Linked DNA regions of Saccharomyces cerevisiae S288C. The gene in region 1 interacts genetically with each later gene. Each region holds a gene or a part of one and is shown on either strand. Other genes may lie near its edges.

What was found.
Region 2: mutations in RTT107 (region 1) and DST1 together harm fitness more than expected from each alone (negative genetic interaction), as found in Saccharomyces cerevisiae (3 studies listed by BioGRID).
Region 3: mutations in RTT107 (region 1) and REV3 impair growth when combined (synthetic growth defect), as found in Saccharomyces cerevisiae (3 studies listed by BioGRID).

What each region holds. Positions count from the first base shown.
Region 1 is NC_001140.6:401,403-406,700, reverse strand, and holds RTT107 (Rtt107p), read right to left. Parts: upstream 3,736-5,298; coding exon 523-3,735; downstream 1-522. Other genes in the region: SPO16 (Spo16p), read left to right, coding at 4,019-4,615; SPO12 (Spo12p), read right to left, coding at 4,746-5,267. UniProt on the Saccharomyces cerevisiae protein: Required for resumption of chromosome replication after DNA damage, specifically in S phase. Is recruited to chromatin in the presence of RTT109 and RTT101 in response to stalled replication forks and acts as a scaffold during DNA repair.
Region 2 is NC_001139.9:415,531-418,924, reverse strand, and holds DST1 (transcription elongation factor DST1), read right to left. Parts: upstream 1,443-3,394; coding exon 513-1,442; downstream 1-512. Other genes in the region: DPC13 (Dpc13p), read right to left, coding at 1-100; YGL041C-B (uncharacterized protein), read left to right, coding at 39-221; RNA15 (Rna15p), read left to right, coding at 1,889-2,779; RIM8 (Rim8p), read right to left, coding at 3,195-3,394. UniProt on the Saccharomyces cerevisiae protein: Necessary for efficient RNA polymerase II transcription elongation past template-encoded arresting sites.
Region 3 is NC_001148.4:232,081-238,774, forward strand, and holds REV3 (DNA-directed DNA polymerase), read right to left. Parts: upstream 5,028-6,694; coding exon 513-5,027; downstream 1-512. Other genes in the region: MRX4 (Mrx4p), read left to right, coding at 1-429; ATG29 (Atg29p), read left to right, coding at 5,258-5,899; SET6 (Set6p), read right to left, coding at 5,876-6,694. UniProt on the Saccharomyces cerevisiae protein: Nonessential DNA polymerase. Required for DNA damage induced mutagenesis. Involved in DNA repair, mitochondrial DNA repair and translesion synthesis.

The DNA.
Region 1 (5,298 bases):
TAATTATTAGATCAAAAAGTTCTTACTAACGTTAGTAGTTGGCTTGAGCCATTAAATTTTGCGTCATTAACATTGCGGATACTCTCGTAATAATATACCTAAAATACACTAGGTTTGGAACATTGTTCTTGACGCATTGAGTAGAAGGGCTCTCCGCTGTGTGAATATCTCAGAGTGGAAAATTGTACAATAGAGTTGCTTTACGCATTCTGGCCATGAATCTGTTTTTATCCATGAAATTGTAGAAAAATTAAAAGGTTTGCGGATAAAGTGTGGAATAAATGATTCTACTCACGGTACTATTTGACCCTTTGTATCCTATATTAGAAATGCTTTATTAAACAATCTAATTCAAAGACAGTACCAAATAATTGTTTCTAACTAGACATTTAAAATGGTCTGTTAATCATATGTGGGTTGTTTGTTGAACATAAGATTTTCTACAACGCATCTTTATAATTATTATATATTTATTTGTTATCAGTGTCGTATGTCAGATGACGTAATATATAGTGTCCATTTTTAGTTATTTTTCTTTTGATACAAAACATTTTTCTTTGATGTAAAATCAACATTGAGATGAAAAATTGATTCAACACACCAATTCCATTCAACAATCAAAATTGTTTCGTTTTTATCACGATCATTAATCAGTTTGGTAAATTTTTTAACCTGTGAAGCTTTGGTGACGATAAGTACGTATTTAAAAATGCCTCCGTTTTCCTGCTTAGAAACGTCATTTGGGATTATGTCTTCAAATGTGCATTTCTTACTACGTAAAACGTTGATTTTTTCGATACCATGTGCCTTTAGAACAGAGCCTATTGTATCTACACCACCCGGTATATCATTGACTAAGTTAATGCATCTAATATTCGCTCTTTCGAACACCTTAGTAGGTAGTTTGGTTTTTGATATTATACTCTCATTAATTCCATTTATCTCATAATCAAACAAGTTTATATTTATTTGAGAAAGTTTATCTTTTTTAGAATGAATTTGTTTCAGTAAATCAATAATAAATTCAGGTTTCAATGCGAATTTTAACGGTTCAAAACTTAAGCTTTTTAAAAATTTCTCGGTTCTCAAAATCTTTGGAGCAAAAATACAATTCAATTTATCCGTTTCTTTAATATTGTCAAAAATTTTTATACCTAGTTGGTTCAATATTTCGATGTCAACCTCATTAAATCCATCATGGAAACAACCGGTGCAAACCGCTTTTAGGTCATAATTTGGTAGTTCATTAAATCTAGCTAATATCTTTTCCGCTTTAGTAGCCAGTTCTTTGTTATTATTTGACCTTTCAACATCTTGGGACAATGAAATCTCCTCGCTATCAATTCTCTTCCTTTTAAAGTTTTTCTGAAATTCATTTAATGATTCAATATCTGTATGCAATCTCTTCGCAGCTTGTGTCTTTGCTAACCTTGAATTGCCACTTGATGGCATAAAAACTTGCGTTTGCGCGGTGGTTGGAGTATCAACGCCACTCGTAATATTTTGAGACGTCTTGGGTGTGGTATATTTGGAATTAACTGCCGGTTTTTCGTCATTAATGTGATCATCATTATCAGATAATCCTTCAAACAAATGCGAGAATTTATCTGTATCTTTTTTAGAAGTGACGTCTTCCGTAGAAATCAGTTTTCCTGTACTTTCCTCCCCTTGCTTTTCATTCGTCATTTGATCTACTTCAATGTGACATTCATTGGTTTCTTTCTCCTTTTCATTTTTCTTCGAAGTTTTGATCTCTCGTTTAGTTCGTTGTCCTAGCTGAACTTGCAGCTCCGTTTCTTCCTCTTCTTTTTTATAATCTATGTCATTCTTCTTGCGTGACTGTTCCCTTATTTCTTGTTTCTTAGGTGCATCATACTCCGTAATAGGTTTCGTAAACTCCTTTTCTTCTCTTTTTTCATGTCCTTCACAGAAAACCTCTGTTTCCATACTAATATCTGAGTTTGAGTCTTTCTTTTGTAAATTAGATTTTTTACTGTCAACTACTGGAAAACTTGCCCTTGAAGGTCTGGAAACAAAACTCCGTTCTAAATCTCCAGAATGGGTTACAGCCACCTCTCCTGATATTTTTTGTAATTTGTCAATCTTTTCATCAATTGAGTTCTCAAAACTACTAATGGGCGTACCATCTTTCTTTGATAATACATTGGTGTTATCGTTAATTTGATCCATTTGATCATTTGTGGGAGGCGGCTTCTCTGATATGGATTGCGTGTCGTAAGTCACCATCGATAGGTTTTTTGGAGTTGGGAGAGATGAATGATCCATTCCTATTTGGCCGATATTCCATCCCATGTTATCATCCAATTTAAAATTTTGAAATCTACTGTCTTTGGGGTTTAACTTGGAATTATTCATATAACATTGCTCTAACCACATATGATTTGTCACAATAATGGCATTTTGCGGGTCCAGTGACCATTTTTTTGCGACTTTGAATTTTTTGCCAATTGTACTCTTCGTGATCAAGTGTGTGTTTTTTCTTGTTAGTTCAGGTGTGCTAAGTCCTCCTAATATTTCTACTAACCTCTGAATATAAAACCTTTGGGAGCCGAAATAATTAGTGTACGCGACTGTTAATTCCTTAGAAGTAAATAATTTCGCATGAAATGGTTGGTGAATAAGTTTACATTGCGATACAGGTGTAAATTTTTGCAGCGCAAACATATAAAACAACCAACTTACGTTCCCAACATGAATTTCCGGTTTAATGCTTTTGGTTTTTTCTAGTATCGGTGAGTTAGCAGAGTGGCCGATATAACAGTCAATATCAGGAAAAGCTTGGTAAACAGACTTCAGATCGTCAGAAAAACTCAACGGAGTTACTTTGCCGTCCAAATCCTCGATAAATCCTTTCAAAAACCAATACAAAGGTGTGAAAAAGTTTAAATCTGGTGAGATAGCAAAGTGGTGATTTTTGAATAAAGTTTTGTTTGGATGAAGAGTAAGCTGCGATGATGATGTCTGCTTATCGCCAATAACCTCTTCCCATTTTGCGAATAACTGTTCCTCACTGGTGTCCTGCATATCAAGCTCACACAAAGTAGCAAGCTCGCCCTTCAAGGGCTTCGCCATTTTGAAATGATATAATATCCATATTGGATAGACAAATTTCCACTCTCTCAAAGGCTTTTCGGTGTGCTTGTTGGTCGATGAAGAGGAAAAAGAGCCAAATGTCAATTTACTGACCGTTGCTATGATCGGGTCCTGGGGACTTTGAACAATCACATGCGTCGTTCTATTTGAGATGTAATTGACTAAAGTGCCTCCTAATAAATGAAGCAAATCAGAGTATAATATGTATTCACACTTATTAAACGAGCTTTTGGAAATATATACTTGACAGTCTCGGAGCAAATGAAATGGGTTAGGTGAATACATATTTGTCCTCAAATGTCTCTTCGTCTTGACCGAATCCTGGACCCAAGTGTGTGATACCACCGGGATCAAAAGATCGAAATAAACTATCTTATAAAAAGGAAAGTTGATTGTATTACTAATGACAAAATGTACTGTTTGCGGGCCGAATTTGTTCATGAACCAATCTTTATCCGTCTTGACATCTTTCAAATTTTCGTTATAAAGCTCGTATATTTGACAGTTATTGCATGAATTATCCATCAAAAGCTTTCTAGTAGAGTGAGCGATGGGAAGCTCAGCCTCTGCTGCCACTAAAATTAAAAAATTTAGCTGCTCAAACAGAAGTGATGTGCTCATGGATCGTATATTTACCAGTATGCTACCTCCTTGAAATCTTGCCCAATAACCTAATGACTTCCATTGAATATACAATATAGAACATTGTGATGTATTTATTTATTGGCAAAAAATGTGACGCGAAAAACAACATTAGATGAGTGAAAAAGAAAAGTCACATCTGATATAGCTTACCCTGTTAACGCGTGAAAAGTGGGCGGCTAAAACCGAGAAAATACGAAATAGTGTAAAGGTTCAAGAGAATAAACTTCTGGAACAACATTTCTGGAATGGTTCAATAGAAATGTCTGAATTCTTTTGGGATGTACAAAAAATACAAGAGATTTCTAATGTCGAAGAACATTCTGTGGTTAAGTGTGTTACTGTGAATACGAGCAGGTTAATTTCGCAGCTTAACGAGGAGCTACAAGACGAAGAAAGTGGCGTCAATTTTATTGTTACACAGCTGCAATTACTGATAAATAATGTCTATGAGAAAATACAGAAAAGCCCTGGAGTTCCCGCACATCGTTCTCTGATGATAAATTTGAATTTCACGCGCTTGAAATTCTCAATAGCTTATTGGGATATCTTATTGGAGAGGTCACTAGATCTAATAAATGGACCATCGAAAACGGGTGCCCGCTACTTTATTACAGAGGTTACACCAGTAGACAGAAGTCGATATGTTGAAAACAATCAATATTTTCTAGCTTTTAAAGCTAACCAGCGTTTGACACGGAACAGCGTGGATATGGACGAGTTTATTGATTTTGAAATTCTAATCAAGCAAATAATTTTCGACCTCTTCAAAAAAAACGGAATTCCAGATCAAGATTTTGAAGCCATTTTATCAAGGTTTCATAATTTGGAAAGCTTGGTGGTTGCTTTTAATGAATAATAAAAAAAATGTAAGAAAAAAAAAATCAGGTATTGTTGAATTATTATTTACTTATTCTTTATGTACTCGTTTGCTTATTGGTTTAGTGTAGCATTTGGCTATTTTTGGATGACTAGAAAGGCAGATTTTTTTAGTAGAAATACTCCTCATCTTCATCGATTTCTACATCCTCTGAATCGGCAGCAAGGTTGCCTTTAAAGTTCAGTTTCATAGGATTGACTTTCTTTTTCTTTCCGAACATCTTAACTTTGTGCTCATTCAATTTCAATGAGCATGGTGATACCAGCCTGTCAGTCGGTGATGCAAATCTTTGTTGTAGTTGGAGTTTCCTCTTCGGATCCTGTTTTAAAAGATCCCTTTTGAACATTGTCTTTTTTACCAAATTGCTAGTGGTGTGTGACGACTTCAAGTTTGAAGTGCTTTTTTTCCTAAAAATTCGAAAGGCCGCAATCTCCTCCTCTAAATTAGGTATATTCTCTTTATTGGCGTCCTCTCCTGTCTTCGCCGATTCATTGTAATTATTGATGTTATTGTGGTGATGGTAGTTGTCGTTGTTGCTGCTGCTGCTTCTGGTGATTGTGTTTTCTCTGGTAATATCAGTCTTGAGGATGGAAGCCGTGCGTGCTGATTGGTCACTTGCCTTGTTGGACATAAATACGTTTTCTATTGTTCTTACTGTATAT
Region 2 (3,394 bases), on another chromosome or scaffold:
AAAGCCTCCTTAAACTCCTGGTGTGATTAGTGGTAGAAATGTTCGATAGTTCTATCGAACGAGTGACTCTGGAACTATGCTTCCATATAACTCTTAGCATTATGTGTGGCTGTAGTATCTACTTTCTGCTTCTTGTGTTTATTCTAACTTTTTATTCGTCGGTTTTGTTACATCTTAAATTGTATTTCTTTAGTTCTGACCGAGCCATATTTAATGCATAGAAGATTAATAAAGAAAACATGAAAATCATAAATAATTAAAAGTAACTGGACGAACAAAAGATTTTACGTGAGACAGACAAAAAAAATTAACACCAGCAGTATATGTATATATGTACATCGTATATGAATATGCCATTTCAACAAATTGGATATGGTTGTATGTTTGGCTTTTTCTTTTCCTGGATTCCGGCTGTCAAATACTACTACGAATAGAGTCAGAACAGGCTTTTCTGTCCCTTCCTCCTATTGTTTCCTTTGCTCTGTCCGTGGCTACTCTCATCTTTTTCTATTCTAAGAGAATTTCCATCTGTTACCACATGCTTCACATGTACAGAAAGTGGTCAATGGTTCATCCGCAGATCTTGTTTGCAATTGATAGTAAGATACCTTCTTCTCTTTACATTTACCACATGTAAATCTATCGGTGACTGACCTTTCTATGGTGGCACCCTGTGCGTTGTATAAGTTTTGCTTGGCAATTTCTTCTATCTTTTGCTTTAAGGGCGCTGGTGCCAGATCCTTGGCATCGCATGTAGCTAAGAATTCAGGTGTTATATCACCGTTGGCAATTTTATGTTTGAGATCTGGGTTATTCTTTGATATGACGTTTGAATAAATTATACGATACCTGGCTTTGTAAGCGGCTTCGTTGGTGTCACAGTTGTTAACTTTATTCATTTCACTTTCTATGGCCTTTGCAGTATGCAAAATAGATTGAGGTGGATGCTCACTTTCCTTGGCCAAAACGTCGTAGAGTGCTTTTAGTACCTGATCACGTAATTTGTGGTGGTATATAGCTGTATCCACACCATCGTTCTTACTATTTCTTGGTTTAGTGCTGACGTACTTGTCTTGTTTCATGGCATCTGACTGGGAGGAGGCCGGCTGTTGAACACCATTCACGGACTCACCTACAGTTGTCTTGTCCTCTGCATTGCCTGGCGCATGATCTTGATGATGCTGCTGTGCTTGCCTGGAACGCTTATTTTTATTAATTGCGTCTTTCCAAGAGCTAATCATTTTCTTCACGAGTTTGCTGATCTCTACATTAGTGGATTTTTTAAACTTGTTGACTTCCACACCAACTTTTGTTTCTCTCAGTAACTTTTCAGTGGGGACGAATTCTTTATCCAAGACATGTAAGATTTCTAGAACTGCAGCATCATTACTTTTGTTCTTTTCTAGATTCTTAACATGTACCAGTACTTCCTTACTATCCATGATGAATGCTCTTATGCGGACTGACTACACTGTGAATGTTCTGCTGCTTGAGTAATTTTTCATTCAATATTTTTCAATACGTAGTCCCATCATCGAGTGATCACTTGGTCATATCAGCACAGTGGGGCGGGTAAGAGTTGAAAATTTCCCTATAATGAAATTGGATATTATATATCAAAAAGGCGTTGTCATTCGAAGCATCGTTTCAAAAGAAGGTCCGTAAAGTTAAGGTGGGCTAGTGAAGTATCTCATAATTGTTACAATCACCATAAGAGAAATCTTGCGTTTAGAATTTCCTAAGAGAACCGAGTCACTTCTAGCACTTGCTTTAAACAGAAACACTTGTAATAATTGTTAGAGGGATATACAAGAAAGGCTATATACCAATAGCATCACATAGACACGTTAATTATCAATACATTGAAAGAAAAGACGAAAACGATAAAATGAATAGGCAGAGCGGTGTGAATGCGGGGGTACAGAACAACCCACCATCCCGAGTGGTGTATCTGGGTTCTATACCATACGATCAAACAGAGGAGCAGATACTTGATTTATGTAGTAATGTTGGGCCCGTGATCAATTTGAAAATGATGTTCGACCCCCAAACTGGTAGGTCGAAAGGGTACGCGTTTATTGAATTTAGAGATTTAGAGTCCAGTGCCAGCGCAGTACGTAATTTGAATGGATACCAATTAGGCTCTAGGTTTTTGAAATGCGGTTACTCCAGCAATAGTGATATATCGGGAGTTTCACAACAGCAACAACAACAGTACAACAACATTAATGGGAACAATAACAACAATGGAAATAATAATAATAATAGTAATGGGCCGGACTTTCAAAACAGCGGAAATGCCAATTTTCTAAGTCAAAAGTTTCCAGAATTGCCCTCTGGTATCGACGTTAACATAAACATGACCACCCCTGCTATGATGATATCGAGCGAACTAGCTAAAAAACCGAAAGAGGTGCAGTTGAAATTTTTACAAAAATTCCAAGAATGGACAAGAGCGCATCCTGAAGATGCTGTTTCGCTATTAGAGCTGTGTCCACAGTTGAGTTTTGTTACGGCTGAATTATTGCTAACGAATGGGATATGTAAAGTGGATGATTTGATCCCGTTAGCTTCCAGGCCGCAAGAAGAGGCATCGGCTACGAATAACAATAGCGTGAACGAGGTGGTGGATCCAGCTGTGCTTAACAAACAGAAAGAACTACTGAAACAGGTGTTACAACTGAATGACAGTCAAATTTCTATCTTGCCCGATGATGAAAGGATGGCTATTTGGGACTTAAAACAAAAAGCATTAAGGGGAGAATTTGGTGCATTTTGAAACTAGGGAGGCAAAAATACAAAAAAAAAATGCGGTTCCGCAATGATGAGGCAACAATCTATCATATTTTCCACGTGAGGGAGCTCAAAGTTCGGTATATAGCTTACATCTCAATATCACAATCACTTTTTTTTTTGACGTCTTTATAAATATAGAATAACGTTTACGTTACTGCTATTTTTTCGTTTCTTATCTCAGTTTGCCTGAGGACGGCTATAGTTTTAATCATTAAACGTATATTAAGTACACATGAACATATATAAATCTCAGGTTTGTGCATGCTTCGATTTTTTTTTTCTATGTTAATGTCATGGATCATTACGTGGCTGGGATAGTGGAAATATGCAAACATGATTAAGGCGCCTAGTTCCAACACGGCGCAAGCTGCGAGTATATGACTTGTTACCTGCACTTTTTAATAGTCATCACAAGGGGGAGGATCGCTTTCTAACTGTTGTAGTCTTTTTTGTTCAAGTTCTTGTTTGTCTTCCGACGGTACACTGACTTTATCATTTGGCGAATACTTTGGAACTGGAACATCGTCACTATCATATGCATTTAATGGGGCCAACCAATCTCTTAAATTCGATGGAGAATTTTGAGGAGCCGTGATTG
Region 3 (6,694 bases), on another chromosome or scaffold:
TTAGGTTCAAACGGAGGAGGAAAAAAGAGTAAAACTACTAAAAAAGTACTTCAAGGGAATAACATATTGTTACACTCATTAGAAAACAATAAGGATATGACCCTGTCAAACAACTTTGATCACAGTGTCTTTAACATCAATTTTACGGACTTATTTGGCGTTATTAATGCATCTGGGTCCCCACCAGATAGAGTTTTGAACGAAATTAATGAGATCGAATTAAAAGGTTGGAAATGTGTGGGGAACTTATACGATAATAATAAAATTGTAGTTTTTCAAAGTAGCAATCCACTCTTAGAGGATACGAAGATTCCTCAAAAGTCTTTCACTAATTCAAAGAGATTCCTTATTTCACTCTCAGCATTGCTGGCCTCCTTTTTTGCATATTATAGATACCGTCTATCTCAACGTCAAGAATCAAAGAAATGATTTTTTTCTTTCTTGTATATAACAACGTTATACATAGAAACAAATAACTACTCATCATTTTGCGAGACATATCTGTGTCTAGATTACCAATCATTTAGAGATATTAATGCTTCTTCCCTTTGAACAGATTGATTATCTCTCAAGTATCTTTCTGCTTTGACACGAGAGTAAAATACTGGACAGTCATATGAATTGCATTTACTAGCTATATGGTCATTTTCGATGCCTGCATCGGAAGTGTAACGATAACTGCACGTCCTGCACACGGTCTTTAGTGTTTGGTATTCTTTTTGTCTCTTTAATTTCTTTATGAGAAATGATAAGGTTGTGGTGCTTCTTTTCTCTAAACAGTCATCACATAACTGAAGTGAACATATTTTAGTCAATTCTTCACCACAATTACAACATGTTGCAGAAGTTCCTACTCTTGTTATGTTTTCCACTTTTGTAGTAGTTGTGCTCGCCCTTTTGGATTTTACTATTTCCTGAGCCCAGTTGCCAACATTTATACCAATCAAATTGAACAATCTATCAAGAGGAGGTATCAGAATTTTGTTTATATAATACTCCGAATCTAACTCTAAATTCTCACCTTCTAAGAACTCTTCTGGTGATACGCATCTTTCCCGAAGCAGTTGTCCTTGCTTTCCTTTAACAACAAGGTAAGGTATACGCTCCTTGTATTGGGGTTCTGCTCTATGGTCTTCATTTATTCTTCTTTTTACAACCACGGCACCTGCAGGGGCTGTCTTTTCGCTTTTATACGCTCCTAATTTAACTTCTTTTGCAAAACAAAAATCTTGGGCAGATACCTTTCCTATTTGAATCTTAAAAAATTCATTTTGAAGATACTTTTTTATTTTTGACAGGTCTTTGGTTTGAAAAAGTAATCGAATACATTTTTCAATAATCTTCTGCTGGGCTGGGATACCATCCCTTCTAACAGTTTCAATACCCTTAGCATCAAAAATAGGAAGGGTCTGCGAAGGACTTTCATAGGAAAATCCTACGTACCTTTTTTTGCTAATTAATATGGAGGGATGGTATACTTTTTCAAACTTCAAAAAGATTGGTTTTGGATTGTTTTGAGTAACTCTTTCTGCCATAGCATGTCCTATAGAAAAAGCCTCAATAGCAGTTTTTCCAGGTAGATATACAAATAAACTATCTGTGTCTCCATAGACAACTTTGGCGTTCCAAGTTTCATCTTTCTCAATAATATCTATTGCTTTCTCCAATGTTTCTCTGCCTGTTTGTACAATGCTATCAGCTAAATCAGAGCATGGCATTCGTCCAGAAAATGAAGCTGATGTATAACCGTAGGTGACATTCGCCAATAATTTTAGTGCTAACTGTTTGTTATTCAAAAGCCTTTTTAGGGTAGTGTTGTCATCACCTATTTCGTTCATTGTTTTCTTTATCATCACTCTGACATCAAGGATATCTGTTAACATTTTGGATAACGTTGATTTTCTAACAGAGGTCTTGGCATAAACAACACCATTTGGAGCGATAGTTACATCATTTTTTAATAAAGCTAAAATGTTTCTTGGTAATGAAAACTTAGATACTCCAAGGTTATTTTCCGTTAAGTTTATTTCTCGCACTCTTCCTATCATAGTCGAATAGCAATAGTTGTATCCAATCATAATGGATGGATACAATGATTGGAAATCCAGCACAATTAAAGGACTTTTGTAGAAAGCAGATTCTGGCTCCATAACCAAAGGCACACATTCAAGTGCTTTTTGCTTACGAACATCCTTTTTGCCTGGAGAAAGAAGGATAAAACTTTCGGACTTGCATATTCGGATTAAAAAAGACTCAACTTTAAATTGTGATCCTCTGTAATATACAGAATGGAAATCTATTCCTATCAATCTTGCCTGTTCGATATTTCGAGCAATGTAATCCTGCTTTCTTAATAGTTGTATATTTATCTGAGCTCTTGATAACCAATAATTTAACACAGTCTTTAATTCGGTTGTGCTCTTTTTAGCGTTCCACATATTAGTTAATGACTCAAATGAAAAGTGAGGTAATCGTTTATGGAGGATATTGAACGCAGCACTTTCAATAGTATATTGCGTTAAATTTACGTCGGACCTCAACGCTCTCCATATATTAATCATATGTCTTCCGGTAATCATAATTCCTGAGGAATGGGCATATCCCCAAGTATCTGACAACTTCGTCTTAATTTGGCATTTGACTCTGGCAAGTTCCCTGACAATGTCAAATTGATGTATTTTTTGACACCTTTCAATTATATAACCCCACGAAAAATTATGTATTTCGAAACCGGAAAGAATATCAGGATCAAGAAGTAATACCAAATCAGTTAGAGCCTCAAACATTTCAAATTCACTTTCATAGAACATCACGGGAATTTCGTTAATACAATGTTGAATTTTAGTAGGAAATGTACTATCCTCAGAAGCTTTGTGGACTATCATAATCCCTTCGTAAGCGATATCCAAATCTAAAGGGAAAGTTTCTTCTTCAAGACACCATATAATCATGGAAACTTCATCTATTGCAGGGTCTGGAATTTTATCACTTCTCGTGTTTGCATGAATCTCAAGTGTCAGATGAGTAAGAGAATCGTGAACGCTACTTTTTTTTCTTTTTTGTTTTCCAGAAACGTCACTAGCAAATTTGTATAAAAACTTACTATGAGGGGTGTGCATGCTTATCTGAGACTCAGTTTTTTTGTTTCCCATCGAGGGTACTTTATTGTACCATTTTTGAACAGCATCATACGTAGGTGGTTTTAACGCATATTTCCAGGAGGAAAACATGTCGAAAGTTGGCTTGTTATAAACTGATACGGTCTCTCCCCCAAATTGGACGGGTATTCTCGTTGATACATGTGTCGAGCTTATTTCAAACCTCTTACCTGCGTACGCGTAAGGTTTATTTTCTAGATCAACTGGATTCGAAAAGAAAGGGTCCTTATAGTCTATTTTTGGGAATCCCTCGTCTTCCAATTTATTCAGAATATCTTGATAACCGAAAGGAGGCTCACCATAAACAAAGGCTCTTTTTCCATAGCGTAATCCCGCAGCCATAACCTTCTTTCTTTTCCGAGACAGCAACGATGTTTTATTAGCAGAAACAGATGATCTAAGTTTTCGTTTACTTGCCATATTTTGCGTCATAGCACAATCCATTGAAAAATTTATCGTATTGTGATATTTTGTTTGATGATCTAATAGTATAGTAGAATCTTTCGGAGACGCAATGCTTTCCGGTAACCATGAATAAGACCGAGACTTTATATTGCTTCCTTTTACACCTTCGTTCTCATTATCAACACCACATATCTCGTATTCGGTGAACGATGCATTAACTTGGTCGTCGTTCTTTTTATCTTGCATACTATTATTGTTTATTTCAATCTGTGGAAGCCTTGGCCACAATTGCGGTAATGCTTCATAGGGCGTATTTATGGCTGAGAATTTTTGATTCTTATCTATAAAGTTCTCAAAATTTGGTATTTGACCATCAAAAGTACTTGTTTTATGTTGTGCTTTCTTATAAAACGCTTCGAACTCTCCAGAAGATTGCCATTGATGACCACTCACATGGCGCTTTGTTTCTGGTGGTTCTTTATATTCCTTCAAGGACAACTCCTCTCGTTGCATGGTAAGTTCATTTATCATGTCCCTAGCAGAGGATACATATGGTTTGACAGGTATGTCAGAAATATCTCCCAGTTTTTCCAAAAAGTCGTGATGTATATCTCTATGCTGTAACTTTTCTCTATTTTTGATGAATTGCGGTAGTATATCTATCTCAATCAATCCATTTCCAACCCGTGGAAAATCCCTTCTACTGAGTACGTTACACTTGAAGTCACAAAATCGATCTAGTAACAACTGAAGATCATCATTAATTGTCAGCTTATCTATGTCCAGTATACTATTTAAAACAGGAGAGCGAAAATAACACCTATCCACGTTTATCCATGAACATCCAAATAAGTTAAAATCTGCGGTCCATTGTAGCAAGTAAGGAATATGTGATTCATAAATTTCGAATTTCTTTCCGAAAATCTTGCCATCTCTAATCAATTCCGAAATCCTACTTAGACAAGAAGGATTAAGCAAAGAAATTTTGTAAAACAGATTCCAGCCAACGTGGTAACCATAAAATGGTATACCCTTTACAACAGAGACATCAGCGACAAAATTGAGATTTCCAAGTTTGTCGCCGGCTAAATCGTGTTTATCATCTTTTTTCCTTTTAAAGGATGCCCTAATTTTTACTTCCAGCGTTTTATGAACTTGGGCACATCTTTGGTGTCTCAATGTACTCGTGTCAGTTATTTGTCCATCATACTTGATGAACATGTAAGGTAGAATGCCATGGACGTGGCACAATACTTGATGCCCTGTGGGTAAAGCACCAAACACCCTGATGTTTGGGACCTGTGAAAACTGGTTTAAGGGCAGGCTTTCACCGTGCGATGGGTCCAAAAAGGTGGGTTTTGACATATAGTAGTCTTGATTATTTAGCTGGATTCTAAAATAGTCTGATTTAGAGGATGATCTAACCGTATCGCTCTGTATTGTGTCGTTCGACTCCCTCGACATTTCCAAACATTTTATTTCGCCACAACTTGTAGTTTTGTATTGACTCAAATACTTTCTCTTGTTTTGTGCTTCTATTACAGAGATGGCTTTTTTCTTCAAGTACACTATTTCTAGACGCACTGCACTCGTCAAAAAAATGATTCAAGGTGAAAATAAAGGGGTGTTAGTGAATACTTATCAAGAAGAGACATACATAATTGTACTGCTGTGCATTTTCCTACTTGACTTTCATGATTATGAATAGTACAAACACAGTTGTATATATCAAAGTTAAGGGTAGGAGACCACAGGGATTCTTGGATCCTCCCAAATTTGAGTGGAATGGAACAAAGGAGCGACAGCTTTGGACAATGGTATCAAATTTGAATTATTCACAAGATCAAATAGATTGGCAGAATTTATCAAAAATATTTGAAACGCCTGAATTTTTTCTTAAAAAGAGAACATATAAATTATTTGCTGAACACTTAGAGCTTTTACAACTACAATTGGAGAAAAAAAGAGATCTTGAGAAGTATTCAAATGATCAAGTGAATGAAGGGATGTCTGATTTAATACATAAATATACCCCTACTTTACAAAATGATAATCTATTAAATGTATCCGCAAGCCCACTGACCACGGAAAGACAGGATTCTGAAGAAGTTGAGACAGAAGTAACAAATGAGGCGTTACAACATTTGCAAACTTCCAAAATTTTGAACATTCACAAGAAAACATCGGATAGTGAGAATAAGCCTAATGACAAATTGGATAAGGATGGTATTAATAAAGAAATGGAGTGCGGTAGTTCAGATGACGATTTATCTTCGAGCTTAAGTGTTAGTAAATCTGCGTTGGAAGAAGCGCTAATGGACAGATTGCAATTCTGATTTACATCTTTCACAAGCACAATCAAAAAACCAACTGTCGGCCAAAAAGGCCCGGCGTTTTACTGTTGGTAAGTCCAGTACCCCGGAATAATCGATACAGATCTGCTCATCCTTTTTTATATCTCTATTCATAGTGAATAGCATTGAATTACCTTTACGATATTTCGTTATATTGGGGTTACAAGAGTGGTTGAAATAGGAGGCTTCTGGAAATACCCAGTATCCAAAATATTCTCTGCTGTCTGAGGCTTCGCCCTCTTGCCATAAACCAAAAGCATTCCCATATTCAGTACCTAATATATGTCTCAATAGCGGTATGGAGAGCATTCTATGCAAATGTGAAGGTAATAGAATATAGAGTGTTTGAAATACTAATTTTTGAAAGTGCAGTAAGACAGGAAATTTAGATATTTTGCTAAGCTCATTCGATTGTAACATATTGAAAGCTCGGTATGTTATGCACTGAGGATCCATATATTTAAGATTAAACAAACTCTCGCACACAAACCTAATGCAGCAATATTCATCTTCGCAAGTGGGTGGTAATTGATTTATTCTCTTCGCAGATTTCATGTTGTTGATGCGCGGTATCCATTTACTTTCAATCTCATCCCATGAAGACTGTATGACATTTTCCGAAATTAAGATAGAGTTTAATTTTTCCTCCTGTTCAGAGGTATAATTATATCTTTTCAGCATGCTTGGAAAATGATGCAGTAATATCTCATAACATTCAATTAATTCAATGATATTTGGTATTTGAAGATAAGAAGTTCTGCAATGTTCTGAACAGAA